Rattus norvegicus: one gene and its partner. The protein of the gene in region 2 interacts with the protein of the main gene of each other region in a pairwise test. Links are inferred from orthologs where the notes say so. Each region holds a gene or a part of one and is shown on either strand. Other genes may lie near its edges. The genes, in order: Ccdc90b and Tk1.

The links.
Region 1: the proteins of Tk1 (region 2) and Ccdc90b interact in a two-hybrid assay, tested with the Homo sapiens proteins (2 studies listed by BioGRID and IntAct). The link is inferred for Rattus norvegicus from reciprocal best matches to the Homo sapiens genes TK1 and CCDC90B.

What each region holds. Positions count from the first base shown.
Region 1 is NC_086019.1:156,043,600-156,048,016, reverse strand, and holds the start of Ccdc90b (coiled-coil domain-containing protein 90B, mitochondrial precursor), read right to left. Parts: upstream 2,826-4,417; 5' UTR 2,524-2,825; coding exon 2,424-2,523; intron 1-2,423.
Region 2 is NC_086028.1:103,534,580-103,538,390, reverse strand, and holds part of Tk1 (thymidine kinase, cytosolic), read left to right. Parts: intron 1-2,691; coding exon 2,692-2,781; intron 2,782-3,056; coding exon 3,057-3,176; intron 3,177-3,254; coding exon 3,255-3,440; 3' UTR 3,441-3,811. UniProt on the Homo sapiens protein: Cell-cycle-regulated enzyme of importance in nucleotide metabolism. Catalyzes the first enzymatic step in the salvage pathway converting thymidine into thymidine monophosphate.

The DNA of each region.
Region 1 (4,417 bases), on a different chromosome or scaffold from region 2:
GCATTTTGACACACAGGTGAGTCATAATCAATGAATTTGATTTAAAGTTCTGGAGCATTTACTGATCAGTATAGGAGATCTAAGAGCTACCAGGCATTTCTGACATCTTCCTGTCCTAATCCATTAAATTCCCAAAACTCAACTCAAACACAGTATAGTCTGATGAATCTTACTATGAAATATTTCCTCCAAGGATGAATTCTGCACGTATAAAAATTCTTAACTATTGTGATACATTAAGATAATAACTGTTAGGCTGGAGAGATGGCTCAGTGGTTAGAGCACTGACTGCTTTTCCAGAGGTCCTGACTTCAATTCCCAGCAACCACATGGTGGCTCACAACCATCTGTAATAGAATCTGATGCCCTCTTCTGGTGTGTCTGAAGACAGCTATAGTGCACTTATATATAATAAATGATTTTTTTTTTAAAAAAAGATAGTAACTGTCAGTGTGGTAGTCAAGTATAAGGTGTTCTACCAGATAAATGCTTCCAAAACAAGGTAGTAGTATTCTCATTTTTAAATTAAAAGATCATGCATTAAAGCTGCATTTGGTACCTAATGCTGAATATGGTGATTCTAGCACTCAAGAGACTGAGGCAGGAGGATCATAATTCAATGCTAGCCCGAGTTACATACTGAAACCAGTTCAGACTAGATCAAACCATACCAGGCTTAGAAAAGGCAAAGGAATTTGCTTAGGTTACAGACACAGTGATAGGTAATAGGATTCAAATTTAGGTTCTTTTGACTACAAAGCTCACATCTTATCTATAGCCTGTGTTGTTTTACTTTATCCCAAGCTACTTATATATCTAATTACTTAAAGGACAGGTTTAATTCCAACACTCAGAAGGCAGTCCAGTGTATTTCTGCGAGTTCAAGGCCAACCTGATCTAGAGCTCTAGGACAGCTAAGGTTGGTTACACAGTGAAACTCATCTCAAACAACTCCAAAGAATATACCCTAACATTAGAGTCTACTGACATGCTGTATATGTGCTATAGGAGATCTATGGCAAATTAAATGAACTAATGAAAACACTCCCCTCTCCACCTGAGGACTAATTCAGTACTTCTTAGTCATAAGGCTGGCAATCTGTACTTAAAAAGAAACATCTGTAGTGTTTCTGATATTCTGCTAAGTGTGGTTAATAATAACAAATTAAGACTGCAGCACCATCAATGAGAAAATTTAGACAAATCACAGCTTCCTCTGCATTTCACTATATAAAGAGTGTTGGACCAAATAAGGTATTTCCATGGGATAAGGATCAACTTTCAAATTTGCTAGACTATTGACATTATTTGTCTAGAGTGAGCAGGAACACAAACCATGCACTAATTTTAAGGGAGAGGGGACAAGATTTCCTCTCAAGAGTAATCAGATTCAAGGGGAATAACCTGACAATTATATTAAAATATTAACATTTTCCTGGGGTGCTATAATTTTGATAAAAGTACACAGATAAATTGAGATTTGAATTATTTCCTCATATTCAAAATAATGCTACCCCTTTGTGTGTGAGGCCTTTGTATCCTGCTGTCATGCTCCTATTTCTCTAAAAGGGCAGCTCTCATTGAACCTGGAATGGCTGAGAGCCACAGCAAGGGCCTTTTATGAGGGTACTGGGGATTCTACTGTGTGTTGTTATTCTTGTGCAGCACATGCTTTTACTAGTGGACCCACATCCCTATCCTTTTTTGAAAAGTCCATCAGACTGTGTATTTATACTATCTAAATACGTAATCAAAGATGTGACTAATTCTAGCAGTTAAACAGCAGACAAGGGCAGCCTTGACTTCAAGTTAGTGGAATAAATAGAATTAAATAACAGGCTATAAACAAAACAGTGGCAAACAACAAAACCACACAAGTGTGGAGGGAGGAGAAATGTGTCTGAATAGCTCAAATTCATAATAGATCCAGAAATAATAAAATGTGGAGGTTGGGATGCCTTTTACGGTGGAAAAAAATGAAAAACAAAAGTATAAAAAAACTCTAGGAAATAGTTCTCAGAGTAAAGTAAGATAGTCTCCTGGATACACAGACTAACAAAGGGCCCAAGTGTTTGGAAATGTATAGGTTCCAGGGCATTTAAAAACAAAACAAAACCCCACTATGTAATTTGTAAACCAGGATACTCGCAAACTACCTAAGAGTTCATTAACGTTATGACACTGAACCCCGCTCCGTGCCCCCACCAATTCAGAAGCCTAGCGGAAGGGCAAGTCCGCTGGGTCTAAAAGGAAGGCAGCCCTCCAACAGACCCCATCGGTTCAGCCAGCGACCCGCCCTCCCCGGAGCCTCGCGGGTGGCTTTGCGCGGGTGGGCGGGGCCCTGTAGGGGGTGTGTCACTCTCGCGGACGCCTGAGCAGGCACACCCGCCCGAACATTCTCCCTGAGCGAGTCTTCGCCTCACCTCTCCGCAGGGCGGGTGACAGACGCCCGTGGGGACTTGAAATCCAGCGGATTCCACTGCACTCGGGACGCAGGAACCGCCAAATCCAGCGGTTCCTCATATTCTCGGAGCTCCGGGTCAGCAAAGGGAAGCGGAATGTTGTTGATTCTCGCAGAGGCTTTCGGACAATGAAGTTCTCTCACCATAAGGATGCTGGGAAATGTAGTTTCCGATCTGTCACTAAAACACTTGTGGGGTTTTTCTTTAACAAAGCTAGGCCTCTTCACAGAGCCACACTTCTCATGACTCAGAGCTTATCCCTCTAGTCCATCGCCCCTTCCCCATCTCTTCCCGCCTTTACCGCCCTAAGAAACCGGGATCTTGGAGAACCTCTGGCGCCCATTTGCTGGTGGCGAGTTTGTCCCACAGCAAGCTTTCTAAACCGAGTCCTGTGTAGTCGCATAGCACCATGGGACTCGCAGTCCTCGCTGCTGAGGATTGTGGGGATGAGACCGGGTTGTTTCCTCGCCCAGAAAGCTTATGGAAGTACAAACCGCTGCACACATTTGTAGTTTCGCGTCTTTCTGCTTGGCCCTCTGGTGCACTGGAGGACCAACTGTTTTAGGCCTTTCCTTCAGGAAAACGAAATGAAAATTCTCCATTTACTGGGTCGATATCGTTCATGGTTTATCTCTCTCCGACTTAAGTTTCCAAAGTCATTGTTCCACCTGGTATCAAACAACGTACTAGTTACAATTGTCTTACCTAGACTTCAACTTTGTGGGAATCAGCTACCTACCAACCACCATTTCAAGCTCTGAGGCTCATTAAACGCAAAACTTGGTTCCCACCAGCAAGTACTTTAGTAGATTACACATGGAAGGAAATAAAAATGATTCTATCGGGGGTACTAGGGACAGAGGCAGGAGACACATCTCTCTACTGCAGATGGTTTCCTAGCATTAGAAGGGGAGGGACTCAGTGAACTAGACTATTGGGGGGAGGGCGGCAATGGGGGGAGGGTTGGGAGGGGAATACCCATAAGGAAGGGGAGGGGGGAGAAGGGAGGGGGAGGGGGGAGAAGGGAGGGGGAGGGGGGAGGGGGGAGGGGAAGGGGGGAGGGGGGAGGGGGATTTTTGCCCGGAAACCGGGAAAGGGAATAACACTCGAAATGTATATAAGAAATACTCAAGTTAATAAAAAAAAAAAAAAAAAAAGGAAAAAAAAAAAAGAAGGGGAGGGACTATTAGGAAAGAGGAAGGGGAGGGTAACAGGAGCAGTTAATGGGGAATAAACAAGCATAAAGTAATTATATTCTTGAGTAAGAATGCCATTATTAAACCCATCACTTGTACAGTGAATGTACACTAATGAAAGAATTTAGAAAAGAGGGGAGAGGTAGGATTCAAACCTGTTTTCGAGGATTTCCGTAAGCAGAGATAGTAGAACACAGGGTCCGGGAGACAGGGTTGGAGAGAGCAAACACACTTTATTAATCTGTTCTTACTCATGGCCTTTGCATATGTTGCAACTTGGAGAGCATTTTCTAATGTATTAGATCACCTTCTTCGTAATGGGCAGATCCCAGCTGACGCGCCATCTCCTGAAGCCTTTATGCTGCGTGCACCTTTGGTGGTTTAGTTAAGAACACAACCCTTCCTGCCATGAGCTGATCTATGTCCTTCAGGAGGGTGGTAACCACATCTATTGCTGAAGTCTAGTATTTAGCATAGTGCCTGGCCCATAACAAGCCTTTGATAAATATACATTAAATGAATCTGAGTGTTCGAAGTATGGCCATAATTTGGAAAAGAAACCTTTAGATAGGGGTAAAGGAATGCATGGATGCTGGGTAGAATTAGGGAAAATAGAGGTTAACAAAGAAGAATGAGTATGATTCTGAGGTTCATACAGTGGACTCGAGAAAATTTGAAAGTTTTTGAGCCACAGTAAGTTCAGAGTCCGTTTAAGTCTCTTTCCAGGAGGGAACTCTTTGCCATTCACCAATGTTGCAA
Region 2 (3,811 bases):
CATTTGGACATGCCTGATCTGTTTTGTCCTCAGAGGTAAACCTTGGGAGTGCAATGGCTGTGCAGACGTTGACTTAGGACACAGTTTCCCCCCTCAGGCCTGCGGCAGTAGCCTGCTTACTCTGTGCTCTCCTGGTATTCCCAGAGGCCCAGCCGCACTCCCTAGGCACTACCTTCTTTTCTTTTCTTTCTTTCTTTCTTTCTTTCTTTTTTTTTTTTTAAAGATTTGTTTATTTATTCACTATAGCTGTCTTCATGCACACCAGAAGAGGGCATCAGATCCCGTTACAGATGGTTGTAAGCCACCACGTGGTTGCTGGGAATTGAACTCAGGACCTCTGGAAGGGCAGTCAGTGCTTTTAGCCGCTGAGCCATCTCTCCAGCCCACTACCTTCTTTTCTTAGCTCTTCCTGCTTGATAGACTCATACCCAGGTCTGGCACCAGCCTACCAGTCGCCCCAACCCTCTTCCCCATCCTAACCTATAGGAGAGATTTATTTCTATGCGCCCCACCCCCACCCCACCTTATGATTAAGGAAAACGAGTTCATTTAGTGGCTACTTGGAGTTTTGGGGTGGGGTCTTGCTTTGTGGTCCAGGCTAGATTAGAACTCGGGCCCCTGAGTGCTGGTATTGTGTAGTCATGGGCCCTCGCACAGGCTACAGTGAGTATTCAGTGTGCACTGTATAAACAACACAATTCTTGTGTGCTTCCGCCCCAGACTCTAGACCCTGTTCCTTACTAAGTTCAGGATCTCCTCGTGGTAACACAAGGAGATTGCCCTTCCTTCCTGTGTCCTCAGACAGTGGGTAGAGGGTCCTGTAGGGTCCCTGGAGCCAGAGCTGAGGACATAGAGCTTCCCGTGTGTTCATTCACCAGAAGCAGGGCCCACAGCTTCTGGGCAAGATTAGAAGCTTGCATCGTTAAGAACTTTGTTTCCCTTCTTTTTGACGCAGTAATGACAGGCTCAATGTAGGGCACAGCAGGAGCACACCAGACAAAGGAGGCTTGCCACTTAAGTGTCTTTGAACCAGAAACTACCAGGAATGCCCTGCGAGCCAATATTGTGGGTTCTAAAGCCTGCCACGGGGCAAACACTAGTCGTGGAACAGTGGCCCTCCGGGAGGGGACCGAGCTCCTTTTGGCGGAAGGGTGGTGCTTGTTTGATTGCTTCTGGCATAGACTGCACCTGCTTTGTCAGTGGTCACGTGAGACTGAGGAAGGGTCTTTATTCATGCGGCCAGGGTGCCTGCCTTGCCTGGTGTTGACCCAAGAGATTATGTTCAGCCAGTGCCAGGACTCTGATGAATGCCAGTCCAGCCTGGACGCTTCTAATTATACACGTGTGTTTTTATAGAGCAAGCCATGTCACATGCTGTGACTATTGTGGGAATGGCTGAGTCCAGGGACCAATCGCATCCATTCCAAGTTTCTGCCCTTTGGCTGCGGCATTCTAGGTCTGGAGATAAATCTGGAGCTTCCACCTCACCTCCGTTGAAAGACTAAAACTGGGAGGGACCGTGGAAGAAGAGAAAGGTTAGAACGTTAAGGTGTAGGGCAGAGATATGTTCAAGAAAAGGTCCAAGAACCAGGCAGGCAGGAGATTGCTTTGCAACCCAGGCCAGCCTGGGTTGCACAGCAGTAACCAATCAAAAGTGAGAGACAGAAGGGATGGGGAGACAGTTCTGTCAGTGAGGGAGGCCCTGGCTCTGCAGGCATGAGTGCCTGAGTTTGGGTCCCTAGCACCCGTGTACAACACTGGGTATAGCCACATGTCCATAATCCCAGTGTGAGGAAGGCAGAGACAGGCAGGCCCCTGGAGCTCCCTGACTAGGCAGCCCAGCCCAGTAGCTGTGCTCCAGATTCAGGAAGAGACCCAGCTCAAACGAAATGGAAGCGCCAGGCTCATAGCATAGGCCTTTAATCTTAGAACTTCAGGGGCAGAGGCAAGTAGATCTCCTGAGTTCAAGGCTAACCTGGTCTACACCCGTGCTGTGAAGGGGGAGGCTGGCCTGAGAGACAGTGGAAGGCGGAGGGCAGCTATCCCTGCCAACCTACTTACGTACGCCTTGTACATCTCATTACCAAGAGTCCCCCTCCTCCTTCCCTCCCTTCCTCCCTCCAGCTGTCCATGGGGGCTAAAAGTGCATGTGTGCATGTGAGGGTGGGTGCCTGCAGATGCCAAAAGAGGACATTAGCTGTCCTTGCATCTGGAGTTACAGATGGTTTGTAAGCTATCTGTTGTGGGTGCTGGGAATTGAATTCTAGTTATCTATAAGAACAAGCCATGCTTGTAACCCCTGAACCATCTCTCCAGCCCTGGTTTATTTTAACTTCCTAATCCTTCTACCTTTAAAGTAGTGGTATTGTGTTGGACACCTTGTCTGGCTCATTTGATGTGGGGGTAGGGGATGGGGGTGGAGCCAAGGGCTTCATGCACACTGTTTAAGCTGTTCAACCCCAGGGGGGTCTCGACCCACTAGTTGAGAACTGCTGTTCCAGCCTCTCTGGTATGTAGAGGCCTCTGTGGGCCAGCCCTGGGTAGCAGTGGGCATGCAGGTGGGATGTTTCACAGGAGTGGCAGTGCGGTCTGATCTCCGGCTCTGGGCTTACCTGTGTGCTCGGATCCCTCACCGTCTTCATGAGGCCCTTGCTCAGGACGGCTCACTTCATCCTCTCTGAACTTTCCTAGTTCCCTGACATTGTGGATTTCTGTGAAACGATGGCCAATACAGGCAAGACAGTGATTGTGGCGGCGCTGGACGGAACCTTCCAGAGGAAGGTAAAGATGTCTGACCCATGGCAGCGGTCTTGAGAGGGGAGACAGCATGCAAGGTCTCCCCATGCAGCTCTCTAGTGAAGCAGGACCAGTAAAGTATGATGTTGCTGAATCATGGGGTTTAAAAGAGAAGCGTTGGGCTGGGGGCAGCCCAGGCTGTAACACACTTGCCTTGCACACAGGCTTGCGTCAGTTCCGCAGAACTCCCTCCACACGCATACACGTGAACACAGGCAGGGAGGGAAGTGCCTGGCTAACACTTTTGCTGTCCTGTGTAGGCTTTCGGCAGCATCTTGAACCTGGTGCCCTTGGCCGAGAGTGTGGTGAAGCTCACCGCTGTGTGCATGGAGTGCTTTCGAGAAGCTTCCTACACCAAGAGGCTGGGCCTGGAGAAAGAGGTATCTCCTTGTGCTTCTGCCCACGGAGTGGGGTGGGCTTAGGCTTCTGAGTCCTCCCTCATACGCCTCTCCTACCAGGTGGAGGTGATTGGCGGAGCGGACAAGTACCACTCTGTTTGCCGCCTGTGCTACTTTAAGAAGTCTTCAGCCCAGACTGCAGACAACAAAGAGAACTACTCAGTGCTGGGGCAGCCTATAGAGATCCCGGCTGTCAGGAAGCTCTTTGCCCCTCAGCAAATCCTACAGTGTAACTCTGCCAACTGAGGGGACCCGGGGCCTGCCAGCTCCTTCCCCAGGTTGGACTCCCAGAGAGCAGGGAAAGGGGCGGGGCCTGCCATTCCTACTGGACATTGCACCTTGGCTTATCTGCTTGTTGAAACCTTTCTTAGTTCCCTTCTTATAATGGTTGTGAGCCCCCAACCCAACGCTTCTCTCTTAAACCCCGTGATTCAGGCAACATCATACTTTACTGGTCTTGCTTCACTAGAGAGCTGCATGGGGAGACCTTGCTGGAAATTGAACTTGGGACCTCTGGAAGAGTGGTCAGTCCTCTTAACCCCTGAGCTATCATTCCAGCACCTTTAGCTCCCTTCTTGGTTGCCAAGACACCTCAGCACAGACTGGAGCCCAGACCC